2 linked regions of the Struthio camelus genome follow. The main gene of each other region encodes a partner of the protein of the gene in region 2 in a complex. Links are inferred from orthologs where the notes say so. Each region holds a gene or a part of one and is shown on either strand. Other genes may lie near its edges.

Region 1 (7,538 bases), on a different chromosome or scaffold from region 2:
ACACTAACATCTCAGAACAAATTTAAAATGTAATTCCACTAGGAAAAGCACGTTTGCAGGAAAAAAACAGCTTTGTAGCAAATTCTCATTAGGAGGACATTAATGTCTAATTGAGTTTTACTTTGACAGCACAACAAGCAAAATCAGGCACACTTGACTTAATCCTCATGCCTTAACTGCCAGACCAAATCATATCCTTGGTTTTCATCTGACCAATCTATTTCTAGCTATTGTTTCCCATCTACTTCATGTGCAAGTTTGCTAAATAGAACATAAGCTCGCTGTAGAAAGGCTAGGGTCTTTGCCAAAAAGGGATCACAACTTTCAACAGCGCAGTCACTAAATGAAAAGCAAAATATCACTAACGTGCTTCTTTCTTGGATATTAACAAAATATAGAGTTATTCCAAGCAAACACTCAAACAATAAATTGTTTTCTTTTTGTATCTACTTGGCTAATTTTCCTGTAGACGGAGGGCAAACATGTCCACCTAAACGTAGCTGCAGTCCTTTTTCCAAAAGTCAAGTTTCTTTAGATGTGTTTTCCATGGATAATCCAGTTTTTCAGTTCGGAATTTCATAAACATTGCAGAAAAAGATGAGGTATTTTAAGGAGCAAGAGACAAATTTAGCCTGCAAAATCCTCTTACTGTAGTTTGTATGAAGAGGATTAGGGGAACACTATGATGCTCAGATCCTAGACTAATCATTTAAAATCAAGAGTTAGAAGAAAAAGTTATAATCAGCAAAGCGAAAGAGATCTCACTTGAAAGTCACTGACTACAAATACAGCACACAGAAAGCTCTTTGAAAATAAAACTGGATTTTTCCGGTTGTAGTCTGAAGTGTTCTGGCTTTGCAGTCCCTTAAGAAATTGATTACTGAAGACCCTTCAGTCCTAGAAATCCAAAGTATTATCTGGACATGACCTAGGTTTAATTCATATGCTATCAGACAGCAACCTCATTTGTTTGATGGTTGGGCTATTTTAAAACTTTGATTTATAAGTGAAGATTTACTACTGTGCCAGTGCTGAATAAAACTAATGGTATTATGAATAAACAGTAAAATATATCACACACATGCTACGGCCTTCTTTAGCATCATGGGGTTATGTAAGTGTAATAGAGGGGTGAACCACACAAAACTTAAGTGTTAATCTGCGGGAGAGAGTTTACTATCTAGGGAAACAGCTTCTCTGTAAACACTGATCCTCTGCTTGGATAATAGCTCAGTCTAGAAAATTGTTCTTTCAAGCCTCACTCAGGTGACTAATCTCACTGAAATTATTTACTCATAGTGTATGAAAGCAGGCTATGAAACCAGGCCTAGGAGTATACATCATACAACAAAAAATCCTGCTGTTAATAGTATAAATTCTCCACACTAATACAAAGATACTAAAATACAGTTTCACTATAATTCTCGTCTCCTGTTGCTGATTAACTACTAATTTTAAATGTTTAGAAAAAGTAATGAAAATGAAAAAGCAATTTCTTGTCTACAGCATTCAAATACAGAGATACAGGTGATCTCCTCTTCCAGGAGGAGATCCTCTAATATGATATAAAATGTATTCCACGCTAGAAAACAGCAGTTGAAAAAGACGTTTGGTGTCTTAGAAAAATACATTTTTCCAGCTCCTCCAAAGCAAAATTACTGCTCGAGACCTTGCCTCAGCATTTATCTTATGCTTATTACCACTTGTTAGGCAATACTGCATGCGTTGGAATCATTTCTGCTTGCCTTCCTGGAAAGTGACTTACAATAGACCTTGAGAGTCAACAGAGCCGGGGAAAAAGTTGCTGGGTTACATGGTGCCTCATTACGGCAACAATCAGTTAAATTGAATCGGCTGCAGACAAGCTGTACTCCTTTCCCGACACTCCTGCCCACCCAGAAGAAGCCAGACCAGGGCCTGTGGTGACCTGTAACACCAGGCCCATAAGAAAATGGAAAGCCTTCCCTTTGAGGAGGAGGAGGCTTTATGCTCTTAAACGATTCACGTGCACTTCACGAACAACTCCAGAGCCCCTTTGTCTTCTGCAGTCTGCCTCGTTCACACTTTTGCTCTACTAGAGGGGGCCGCGCGAGGAGACCCGCTCTCCCAGCACGTCTGTTTGTAAACGCTTCCAGCGCAGCCCTGGCCGGCTCTCCGTTGCCCTCCCCCTGCCCCCTCGCTGCTCGGGCTGCAGCCACAGAGCCAGAGGGCGAAAACGGGCCCTGGGGGGGACACGGGGGCTAGTTGGGGGGGGGGGGCAGGGAAGAGAGGATATAGGTCGCTGAGGGGGAAGGAATGGGCTCTAGGGGGAACGATGGACTCTGAAGGGGCAGCAGGGGCGGGAATAGGCGCTGAGGTAAGGACTGGGGAGGGGGGGAAGGAGGGCTGAGGAGGGCAGTAGGGGCGGGAAGGAGGGAGAGACGGGCGCTGAGGAGGGACGATGTCGGAAGCCGGCGCGGCATGAGGGGTGGCAGCCGGCCGGGGGCAAGCCCCACGGGGGGTAGGGGAGCCTCGTCCCCCCCGCGGGGAGGCAGGGCCGAGGCGGCGGCCTCGGGAGCGGGGTTGCGGGGGGGGGCGGCTCCGAGGCAGGGCCGGGCACCCCCCGCCATGTCGGGGAGGCGCTGGCCACCCCCCCCCCCCCGCCATTTCGGGGAAGGCAGCGAAGGGCGGCAGGAGCTAGAAGGGACGGCGGGGCCCGGGGAGGAAGGTATCGCGGCGGAGGGCGAGCTGCCGGGCAGGTAACGTGTGTGTGTGTGTATGTATATGTCCCCCCCCAACCACCACCCCGGGCGGGAAGGGGCGGGGGCGCTCACAGCGGATGGTGTGGAAGGAGGCCTTGGGCCGGCGCTCGAAGCTCTCGCCCAGCTGCAGCGGGTGCTCCTCCTTGTCCAGTAGCGGGTTCGCCGAGCCGTTCATGGCCCCGCTGCCGTGCCGTGCCGTGCCGTGTCCTGCGCCGCCCGTCCCTTCCTCTCCTCCGCCCGCTGCGTGCGCGGCCGCCCCGCGCCCTTCCGGGCCCTGAGTGCAGCCGCGAAAGTGCTCCGGGGCCGAGCCGAGCCGTCTCGTCCCGTCCCGTCCCCTCTCCCCACAGGGCACCGAGGGCAGGTGGGCGCCGTTGGGGGGGCACGCAGGGGGTCTGGCCCCGTGTGGGGCGCCCTCCCCCCCCCCCGCAGCGGGGTCTGGCCGCCCCTCGCGGCGTGGGGCGGGGGGGAGCGGGGGCTGCGCGGTGCTAACGGCTGCTAACGGCTGCTGGGGGGGTTGCGGGGCGGGCGACCGTTATCGTCGTGTCAGCTCTTTGGTTTCTGTCTAACACAGGGGTCTTTCCAGACGTAAAGGGGGCAATTTAAACGGGTCATTTCCCCCCCCCCCACTCCCCTCTCTAGCTTGTCTTACCCCAAAAAACCCCGCACGCGTTGATTTGATGCGTGCCAGGCGCACAGCAGAACCTTTTTGCTGCTGAAACTTCTCTTTTTGTTTTTTTTCTTTCTTTCTTTGAGGATATACCTTCAAGAAAAAATCAAAATATTACATATTTTGAGGAAAAGCCTGTGTCTTTAGTAGATTTTCCTTCTTCAAGGGAGTCTCATCGCTGTTGGCCTTTCCCAGCCTTCCTGCGGGCAAGCGGCGTGTGGTCTGGCTCCTGTGAAGCTGGGCACAACGGGCCCGCTTCCTCGTTTCCCGCCGTTCCCGCGTTTGTGTGTTGTGTTTGCACTGTTACGTTTGTACTAACCAAGATAAAATAGCGGAATGAAGTACTGCTCGTTGTTGTTGTTCTTTTTTGTTTTGCTGAAGGGTAGAAGTTGTTGTTTTTCCTCATTTCCGTTTCTGTGAAGCGGCACGAATGCCCAGTCCTGGGCACTGATGGACGTGGATGGGCGCGTTTTGGCCTGCCAGGGGTTTCAGGGGAGTTACTGGGTCACGCGGGATTTAATTCACGTACGCCGTCTGGGTGTTTGTGGCAAGGCAGAGCTCAGAGCTAGTTTAACGTTAGGGAAATGACTTGAATCCTTTCCTGGCCTCCATAAAGGTGTTTTTATTGCCTCATTTTTGTTAACTTCTGAAAAAAACATACCCGTCATTGTTCAAACTGCTGTGAATCCTCAGGAAGAGGCAGTGGAAGGAGTGCGAGCTCAGGAGAAATGTTAAGGTGAATATGGTTTTCTTTGCCAACTGAAACGGGACTCTTAAAAGGTGTGCCCCCTGCTTTTCAGTTGTGAGCTTTCTGAGGTGTTACTAACCAGAGTTACAAAGCCCGTGTTTTCCTTTTCTAGTCGATTTTAGTGCAAATAAACTTAGAGCTGCATCATCTCTCTCTGGTTGGGTAGTTTTCTATGATACGTGTGGAAGACCAGCAGAATTTGTCCCCTGTGTTCTTTGAGATCAGTGTAGTGTCTTACCTGGTGCTTAGCTTTGAAGGAGGATTTCTGAAAATAAGAGAAGCAAGTCTGGTGGTTTTGCGGTCTGTTATGTAGGGCAGATCACCATAAAACCTCCGAAAGTGCATACAAAAACTAACTATCTCCCTCTCTCTCTCTCTCTCTCTCTTTCTCTTTTGTGCTTTTAGATCCTTGGTTATTTACCAAAATTAAGTGATGGAAACATATATATGCTAAAAAAAAAATCACTGTTGGGGCTTTGGTATTCACATCTCTGTGAAATACTCTAGGATGTTCCATGAAAACCCACCAGCCGATTGCTTAAATTTAATAATTACATCTACTGAAGCTGATGCTTTCCAAAAAAAAGGCCATAGTGCAAGGATCCTTAGCCCCGAAGAAGCTGAGAGACTGGCAAAAGATAAGGTTTTGGTGACTGATTTCAAACAACTAAAATTGGAGAAAGAGGCACAGAAGAACTGGGATCTATTTTACAAAAGAAACAGCACCAACTTCTTCAAAGACAGACACTGGACAACCAGAGAGTTTCAAGAGTTAAAAGCATGTCGGGAGGTGAGCTGAATACACCTATCTATAAGTAAAGAGATATGATTCATTGTTTTCAAATGATGTAGTAATATTTCTAACAAAGCCATTAAGGTGAGAGCTCTCACGTTTTAAGTGTGTAGTGCTTTGTGTAGTGTAGTCTCTTTTAATGTCAAAGATATCTCCTCAGGATCAGTTTAGTTTCAGTTTATAATTCTTTCATATTGTATATGGAGAACCAAATCTGGAATATTTATTTTGCATCTGCACAGAGAGACAAGTTGTCTATTTAGGACGCAAGTTACAGCACTTAAAACACTGTTTTAAAGAAAGCATCCAGAACTACAGGCTAATTGCAAAATATCCTTAAGGGGAATAGTCAGATGCATCTGTTGCTCATTCTATCTGGATGAGACACAAGACAGCAATAGTACAACAATCTGTTAATTAAGTGGGTGGATGACTAAAGAAATATTAAAAGTTTTAAAAAGACGTGTAATTTTGCACAAATTAAAATTCCTGTTTTGTAGTGTTAGATTACTGATGGATGCCTCTTCAGTTCTTGAATCAATGGTAGTTAAAATTGATTGCTTTTAAAATGCTAATTGAAACGTGTGTCTGCTTGTGTCATGAGGAAAACAAAAATGATGTGATGCCTCTTGGATTTCTTCCTTCCCAGTTTGAAGATCAGAAGCTGACCATTCTAGAAGCAGGCTGTGGGGTTGGGAACTGCTTGTTTCCACTCCTAGAAGAGGATCTGAATATTTTTGCATATGCCTGTGATTTCTCTCCTAGAGCTGTTGAGTATGTGAAGGTTGGTGTGGTATTCAGTACTTCTTTTAGAGTGTCTTTAGAAGCTTATGAATTTGCACATGGTTGGAGTGATGGACTTGCCTTCCTTTTTCAAGAAAAGTAAACTAGCATTTGTCAAAGAACAGGAACAGATCCATTTCACTGGAGCTCCCATTGAAAGAAGCTGAATCGTTGTTTAAGACCTAATTTTTGAGCATCAAATTGTAGTAGCGGTATATGTTTGTTACTTCACCTGAATGTTCTGTGAAGACTATGTTTTCCTGGGGAGAGAAGTTTGCCTTTGTGGGGTAGAGGGAGTCCCAAGGATAATCTTGAAAACGGGGATATGAAAGTTATTGGTAAAGAAATCTGGAGACTGATCAGAAATAGGTATGTTTATACCTGCTCATAGCTAAAGAGTGCTGCAATCCAAAACAAGTCTTCCAGTAAGGCTTATGGGGACAATGGACTGGTTTGTTAAATTTGTAATCAGAGGTAGGTTTTTATGTATCTTTCATTAGAAAGCATTCTCTTATGGGACATTTATGGCTGAGAACCACAAGACTCGTACTGCAGACCTCACCCAAACAATGGAAGAAATACATTAGTGGGTCACAAACAGGAGGTGACAGCAACTCCCTGGAGTGCCACGGGTGTACTGCCAGATGAGGTTGGACTGAGTGTATAGGCTTGGTTTTGGTCAGCTTGGTGGTGTTTGCCTCCACAGCTCCGGCTGGACTTCTTTCTTTCCAGGACCAGGTTTCCTTTCACCCAGGGAAAAAAAAAAAAAGGGACTAGAACAGCCAAACTGCAGGTTGCGTGAGCTGTTTACGAGCTACTTGTGGCTGAAGAGCTGTGCTTTGATCCCCTTGTAATAGAGAATTTCTATTAATAATATTTCTGTGTTTTTAAAGAGTAGAAGCAGCTGTAAAACAGAAATAGTGTGATATTTTAATTATGTCTTAACACACATTCCTTCTCAAATTCCTGAGAACAGACCATTTTTTTCACTATTATAGTGTCCAGCAAAGAATTTCATTTTGTGGTAGTTGCCTAATCTTCTTTTGCCGCTTGCTTTATGTTTCTTTACTAATTAGTTTCACAAGTTTTTGACTTTTTTTTAAAAATAACAAAAACTGATAATTGTCAGTTAAATCATAGTCTTTTCATTTCCCTAGAAAAATTCTTTATACAGTACTGAAAGATGTAAAGTGTTCCAGTGTGATCTTACTAAAGATGATCTTACAGAAAATATACCAGCAGATTCTGTGGATGTTGTCACACTTATATTTGTGCTCTCTGCCATTCATCCTGACAAAATGCACCTTGTCTTGAAGAACGTTTACAAGGTAGGCACGAGCAGCTGATTTTACAGCCTTTAAAGCACTTTTATTCTTTTTGGCTTGAAAGTACAATTTTATTCTAAAAAAACAACTCTACTTTTAATCGTGATCCTTAATTAACACTATATTCCCTGGGAGTATTTAGCTAGCTCTTGGTATTTTGAGAGTTGTTTGGATTCTAGTCTTAACGTGTGTCGTCAGCATAACAAAATGGTATCTTGGACCCGTGAATTTGCTGCTAGTTGTACACTACAAAGAGTATTTTCAGCTTACAGAAATGCCTGTGTCTGTAAGATAGGAATGAAAGTGCATCAAAAGTCACTTCCAGACGACGCAATGACTTGCAGTTGGAGTTTGATTATTAAACTCGCTTGATCTATGTGATTTAGAAATGGGCTGTTCATATATACTAATGTTAACCTAGAGATACTCTAGGTTGCCTTGTAGTTGATGGAGAGAGGGGCCCATCCAGAGGGTAGTTCAA
Region 2 (6,958 bases):
CTCCCCACACACCTCCAAGCCCAGATGCCCAGGTGATGGGCAGGGTGTTAAAACTGAACCTGAGGGCGAAACCCTCCCGTCTCGGAGACACGCTGAGCCCCAGCGCCCTCCATCCTGCTCCTCTTTCCACACTCGTGCTTTGCCCCGGCGCGGTGGCAGGTCCCGGCTCCGTGGGGGGAGTTCCCCCTTCTCGCAAAGCCCGGGGGCCAAAGGCTGCCACGGAGAGCCCGGGCGGCGAGGAGGGCGCCCGCGCCTGCGGGGATGCCTCCTCCTCGGCCTGAGCTGCAGAGCGGGTTTTAGGGCCGGGCAGAGAAGTGGGAACGGGCGGGTGGTTTCTGGGGATCGCTCCCGTGCCGCTCGCCGGGGAAGAAGGACGGCAGGAAGGAAAAAGAGCAGAACGAGATGGAGGGAGAACGGAGGGGGCAAATCGGAGCTCTCCGCGCTGGTACGTGCCGCGAGCAGACGCGCGGCGAAACCGGAGCTGGAAGGGAGCCGCCAGCGAGACAACGGGAAGCCCAGACCAAGCGAGGCGGCGAGATGTTTCCCCCCCGGCCGGAAACAGGCGGGAGCAGAAATCCCACAGGAAACTTTGTTCTCATGGAGCCTCCGACCCCGGGGCCGGCACGTCTGCCAGGTGCATCCCGCGGGCAGCGCGCGCGACAGGGGGCCGGGGGCCGTCCGCGCTCCCCCCGCGGCGGCTCCAACCCTGCCGATCCCCCCGCGCCTGCCCGGCGCCGGCCCCGCGCTGAGAGCCGGCAGCTGAGCGAGCCTTACCTGCGCGGGGCGCTCTCGCCGGGATGCTCTCGCCCCTTTTCCAGCAGGCGCCCGCCGGCGGTCTCCGCTCCAGGGGCCGCGCCGGGGGTCGGGGCCGGGCTGGGGGTCGGCGCCGCCGGCCCGAGCTGGGAGACGCTCCCCAAAAGCTCCGGCGTGCAGCCGGCCGTGGCTGCCCCCGGCATGCCCGAGGGCGCAGCCTCTTCCTCCTCCTGCTGCTCCGCTTTCCCGGCTGCTGGGCACGGCTCCGTGCCGGGGGCGCTGGGCGTCTCGGGGCGCTCGGGGATGGGGATTGGGGCCGTGGCGGGGATTTTGCTGCCCGCGGTGCCTTTCCCGCGGCAGCTCTGGGAGCTCTTGGCCTTGGCCGGGCTCTTCGCCGCCTTGCCCACGCTCAGCCTGGGCATGGTGCCCATGTGGCTGTACATGTCCGACGACCTGGCGTAGGGGCTGGGGCTCTTGGGCATCGCGTGCAGATCATCCCGGGTGCTGTCGAAGGGCTCCTCCAGGAAGCCGTGGGCGGCGGGGAGCCCCGGGCCCAGGCTCTCGGGGGAGCTGGGGGCCACGGAGACGCGCCGCAGCGTCAAGGTTCGGGGGATGCTGCTCAGGCTCCCGAAGCCCTTGAACTTGAAGAACTCTGGCACGGAGAGAGGAGAGGTGGGAAGGGGGTTAGTGCCGGCACGGGGCGGCGGGGGGTCCCGGACAGAGCCGGCCCTCCCTGGCTGCGCCGCTCCCCGGCACCCGCAGCCCCCTCCCCGAGCCCGGCCCCCAGGCTGTGCCCGCCGGCGTCCCCCGGCCACGGCGCAGCCTCCCCCCCCGGCGCGTGGGGGCGATGCTGCCCGCGGGCGCGGGTCCATCCCCTGGCGGCGGGCCGCGGCTGGGGCCGGCTCGGGGCCCCGCGGCGCAGCGGATACCCGCGCCGCTTCCTCGGCCGAGCGCGGGCGTGCACACGCGCCTCTCGCCGCCTCTCTTGCGGCTGCCGGCAGCCACCTGCAAGAGCCGAGCGCGGAGCCGGAGATGTATTTATAACCGCGGCGGGCTGCCTTTGCATTTCATACCTCGGCGCCGCGGGCCGGCGCGCTGCAACGCCGCGGGCGGCCCCGGCCTGCGGGCTGGGGGCCCTCCGCGCGCCGGCGCCTGGGGGAGCCAGGGCAGCAGGAGGCCCCGTGGGCGCACGGGGCTGCATTCCCCGCTGCAGCTTTGCTGGGCCGGGGCGGGGTTTACACCCGGAGCCCTGGTTTTTCGGGTGCCTCTGGGGGTTTTGCAATGTTTAGCTGGCAGAGCTCTGCAAAGCCTCTTCCCCTCCAGGAAAGCCGAATTTGTCAAGACAGGAAGCCATAAGCGGCAGCAGAGCTGCGCGGGGAGCCCAGGTGCACGGGGGACCCGCGGGGCCGTGGGAGCCGCGCCGCGGCCTCCGTCGCCCTGCGCGTGCCCCTGCCCCAGCGCCGGGGGGGGAAAGGGGGCACGAGAGGCCGTGCCAACCCGAGCACGTGGAGCCGGCAGGAAGGCAGAGAGCCGCGGCGAGGGGAAGGCGGCGCGGGGGGCCGGCGGCCTGACGGCCCCGCTGGAGCCGCCTCCGAGGGCTTCGGGGACAACCCGCGGTCTGTGAGGAAGAGCAGAGTTCGTTCCCGGAGGGCACCGAGCCGCTTCCTGCGAGAGCGTTTCGGCCCCGTGCGCGGTGCCAGGTGGGATCCTTGCTAAATCCGCGAGAATTCGCCCCCGGCCGCCGAAACCTGGCTCGTCTGCTCTCCCCCTCCGGCCGGCGCACCCGCACCCCTGCTCCCGGCGGGAAATATTCCCAGGGAGACGCGATCTGCAGAGGGAAAACCCCCGGCGGCATGGGGGACCGGCGCCCGGCTCGCCCCCACCGCGTCCCGGTGCGGGGCTGGCCGGTGGCGGGCTGGTCCCCGTCCCAGCACCCCGTTGCTGGGCGAGCAGCCCTTGGGGTCGCCCTCCACCGTGGCGAGGGCGAAATCCCCCAAATCTTCTCACCCCCACCCCGAGCCCGAACGAAAGCAGAGCCCGCGGGAGCCACGTCCTCGCCCGCGTCCCCTGCCCCTGCCGGGCCGCCCAGGCGAGCAACCCCGCCGCTCCTCCCCACCGCCGCTTACTGAATTTCTTGAAGCCCCCTCGTTTCTGGCTCTCGGCCATGGCGGCGGCGGTGGCGGCGGGGACCGGCAGGGATAAGTTTATAAACTTCAAGCCCTTCCTTGCCCCGCTCCTCCCTTCCTGCCCCCTCCGCCTCGCGCTCGCTCCGCGCTTCCTCCCGCCCGCCCGCCCGCCCGCCGTCGCCCGCTCCCGGCCCCCACGCGGCCGCCCAAAAAAGCCCCCGGGCGAGGACGCCGGCCCCGCGGGGGCAGAGCGCAGCCCCTGCCCTCGCCCGGTCCCCCCCGGCTGGTGGCCGGCGTCAGCGGCGTCGCCGCCAGCGGCAGTCCCCGTTCCCGTCCCCCCCCACCCCGGCCTGGGGGACCTTCGGGTGCCCCCGCCGGGGACGCGCAGCCTTTTTCCGCGCAGGGCAGGGCGGCCCCCGGCCTGGCAGGGAGCCTTGTCCCGGCTTTCCGCCTCTCTCCAGGAGGCGGCACGCGGATCCTGCCGCGCGGCACGCCGGGAGCCATCTCTGCGTCTCCGCTGCCGTCCGGCCCGGATGCTTCCTGTTGCGCCTCTCCGCCTTCGGCAGCCGTTTTAAATAACCCTGGGATAACGTGTTCGGCCCCCGACCCAGGGCATCGCCCCGGGCAGAGGGATCGTGAGCCCCGCCGCGTGCTGAGGCCGGGGGGAAGGACGGCCCTTCGGCGAGGGATAAGGACGCTGGCAACGGCTGGGTGTCTTCGGCGCGTCAGGCAACGGCTGGGTGTCTTCGGCGCGTCAGGCCAGGCTGACGCAAAACCACCCGCTGGAAAACACCCGCAGGGAGGACGAGGGCGATCCGCTGCCGCCGCCGCCCCCGGGGCCAGGGTGCCCCGCACGCGCCCGCGACTTTGTCAGCAGCATGGCCCCCGTCTTCGGGGAGACGTGATGGGAGGGGAAGCGGCCGAGCGCTGTGAGGGAGAAGCCCCGCAGTGGGCTGGGCTGGGCAGGGCTGGGCTGCTTGGGTGTGACTCTCTAGGGAAGGAGGCGGCTGCTAGGCCTCGCCGCCAACATGGCCGCCCCCAGCGGACTACAAGTCCCAGAGGCCCGCGCGGCGGCGGCGGGCGGAAGGGGCGTGGCCTCCGGCAGACCGGAAGCGGAAGCGGGAGGGGAGCGGAGCGGAGCGGGGCGGCCGGCATGGCCAAGCAGTACGACATGGTGGAGTGCCCCTTCTGCGACGAGGTGTCCAAGTACGAGAAGCTGGCCAAGATCGGGCAGGGCACCTTCGGGTGAGCGCCGCCGCCCTCCGACGCCGGGTCCTGCCTTCCTCTTCGCGGCCTGTTCGCCTGCTCCGCGCCGGCGTCAGCCTCGGGCCTGCGGGTCCCGGCCGCGGCCCCTTCCCCGCCCCCCGGGACCGGCCTCTTCGCCTCCCCTCCCCCACGTTAGGACTGGCGCTTTAGTCCCCTTGGGACCAGCCCCCCCCCCCCCGGACCGGCTCTCTTCTCCCGGCCTGTCCCCTGCTCTCCTCCTCACCCTGGGCCTCATCTCTTCCCCCCCCCCCCCCAATTCTTCTCCCCCTGGCCCCGCGCAGGGCTGTGCAGCCTCCCCCCCTCCCTCCCCGGTTCTGGGGTCAGAGCTGCTGCCTCTGCTCCCCTCTGCAGCCCAATTGCTCTGGGTGGCAGGGCCTTTCCCCTGCTCTCTCTCGGCTGAGGTGCCCCTGGGCTCTGAGTGCTCCTAGCTCGAGTGTCGTTTCCCCTGTCCCTTCTCTGGCTCCTGGGAAGCAGTGCACCCCCCTGAACCCCCTTCCTCCAGCTCCTTCTCCCACCCCAGGTCCCCTCTCTGTCCCAGGCCTGCTGGTGGCAGAGAAGAGTTGGTTTTGGAGATGCTCAGGACAGGGAGGAGCAGAGACTCTTCCCTCCTTCTGCTGTGGTGATGTTTTGAGCATCCTCCTGCAGTTTTTGAGAGAGTCCAGCCTCACACCTTATTTTTCTACCACAACATCTGAGATTCCTATTGCCTGGAGTCTGAAAAATGTCCTTGCAACATTCATCTCGTTCTCCCACTGGGCTGGGGATGTGAGACGCTTTAGCCACTGTTCTCCCGGGGGGTGTGGGAGCTGTGTGTGCCCTTGCTCTGGGCTCTGCATCGTCCCAGCCAGTCTTAGTGGCTTTTGGCCTGAAGGGCACCTGGCTGGGTTGGATGGTGGCTCAGCACAGAGCTCTCTCTGTGAAGCTATAAAGTGTTTTGTTTGGTCTCGTTCCTGGTAGGTAGCACCTGGCTCCTTCTCTTGCTGTGCTGCTCATACATCTCCTTCTGCTTTTACAGGGAAGTTTTCAAAGCAAAACATCGTCAAACAGGCAAGAAAGTAGCACTGAAGAAAGTGTTGATGGAAAATGAGAAGGAGGGGGTAAGTGTGAGGAGCACAGCTGTGCTGTATTTGGGAAAGGCCTGGAGAGCGCATAGGTGAAGGCTGATCTTTGGGATGCCAGAGATGTGTTGTCACTCTGTAGGATGTTACCACCTATTTGTACTTCTTTTGCAATATTTACTGCTGTAACGTGCTACATGTTGAACCCTTAAGGATGTGGGCAGGATCTCAGCCCTGTGGCCTGTTTTCCTCTCATACCGATGTTGTGATAACGCTGCATCTCGTGGCTGCCCTACCTCTGAAGGGTAGGTCCTGTTATCGCCTTGTTGGCCGCAAAGCTGCGCGACACCCAGTGCAGCCTAGTAGCTGTGGGGTGACTGAGCTGCTGCCAACGGCTGCTGGGAGGTGACACCTCTGTGCGCATTCATACATCTGTACGAAATCCGATCGCCCCCGGCATGCGTGGGCTTTTGCGTCGGCTGTTGTTCATGGAGGAACTGCCTGAGGTATTGACTGTCCCGGCTGTACTAGGGACTACGCAAAAAGCACATGCTGAGAGTGTGCAGAGAGATGGGGCAGGCTAGGGAGGCACTAACCGAGTAAGCAGCACGGGCTAAGGAGGCCGCTCTGTGGGTCGTGTGGGGCTGTACGCAGCATCCCGTTACAGAAACGCAAAGTGAGGAGAGGAGGGGTGTCTGCATGCTGATTTCACTCTGGCGTCACCCAAAAACCCGTGTGTCATGGCATAATTTCTCTCAGTGACGGTGGCCTGAAACACAGCATTTAGGCAGGTATCTGTCTTTTTGTCTTGTGGCATTTGTAATGCGAGGGCTGGAGAGGAAGAGCCCTGTCCTCTAGGGACTCGGTGTGCTGCGGCCTCCAGGTGCTGAGAGCAGCTGTACCCAGCAGGATCAGCCCTCTGAAACACTGTTCAGAGAACAGGATCTGGTGCAATGGGGAATATTATTATGACAATCCCAGCGTTGGCTTTCTCTTTTGAAGATCTGCTTGCCCTTAAATGACGTGTCAGGGTGCTGCTCAAGCAGGTCCCCTGCTGTGCTGCTGTGATCACATCTCTCCTCCTGTTCTCTAGGCAGCTGTGGCCTGGTCTCCTACACTCCTAATCCATGTTCTCTATTTCTCCTTTCTAGTTCCCCATCACAGCCCTGCGAGAGATTAAAATCCTCCAGCTGCTCAAACACGAGAATGTGGTGAACCTCATAGAAATCTGCAGGACCAAAGGTAGCGTGCGGTGGTGCCTCTTGTGCTGACTGCTTGCTGAAGTGGCTGTTGGCTTTCTTCTGCTGAGCAGGCTGGTGTTTTGTCGGGGGGAGCGGAGTCCTTTGGCTGAGTTCCCTCATCTCTGATTTAGGGTGACAGTAGACCCATCTTTGAACAACAGTGTTTCTGAATGAGTTAAGAGAGGATTGTGCCACAGCTTGGCTGGAATAAACTGTTGGCAGTCCTGCTAGAGTATGCCTGTGCTGCGGCAGCGCACGTACTGTGTGCTGGGAAACTCCCATTTGAGAGGCTTTAAATAAACTAGCACTGGAGAGAAGTGTGAAGCACAGGGTTTTCAGCCTGGAGCTGGTTTTGTGGCTGTGCGTAGCTGATACCCTGTCAGGAGCTGGAGCCGTCCCTCTCTGAGTTTGCATATGACACTTCTTGATAGCTTTGAGCTGGTGACACAGTGCCAGCTGGGGACTTGCTCAGCATCTCCTTTTGTGCGTGACAGCAACTGCTCATACTTTGAGG

What was found. Proteins that work in one complex are often made in the same cells at the same time.
Region 1: CDK9 (region 2) and EAF1 share a complex: the UniProt entries of both Homo sapiens proteins name them as parts of the super elongation complex. The link is inferred for Struthio camelus from reciprocal best matches to the Homo sapiens genes CDK9 and EAF1.

What each region holds. Positions count from the first base shown.
Region 1 is NC_090943.1:48,872,260-48,879,797, forward strand, and holds the start of EAF1 (ELL-associated factor 1), read right to left. Parts: upstream 3,006-7,538; 5' UTR 2,917-3,005; coding exon 2,814-2,916; intron 2,739-2,813; exon of another isoform or gene 2,373-2,738; intron 1-2,372. Other genes in the region: SH3BP5 (SH3 domain-binding protein 5), read left to right, coding at 4,665-4,946, 5,599-5,733. UniProt on the Homo sapiens protein: Acts as a transcriptional transactivator of ELL and ELL2 elongation activities.
Region 2 is NC_090961.1:7,655,758-7,662,715, forward strand, and holds the start of CDK9 (cyclin-dependent kinase 9), read left to right. Parts: upstream 1-3,955; 5' UTR 3,956-4,032; coding exon 4,033-4,124; intron 4,125-5,160; coding exon 5,161-5,242; intron 5,243-6,354; coding exon 6,355-6,445; intron 6,446-6,958. Other genes in the region: SH2D3C (SH2 domain-containing protein 3C), read right to left, coding at 775-1,405, 2,880-2,919. UniProt on the Homo sapiens protein: Protein kinase involved in the regulation of transcription.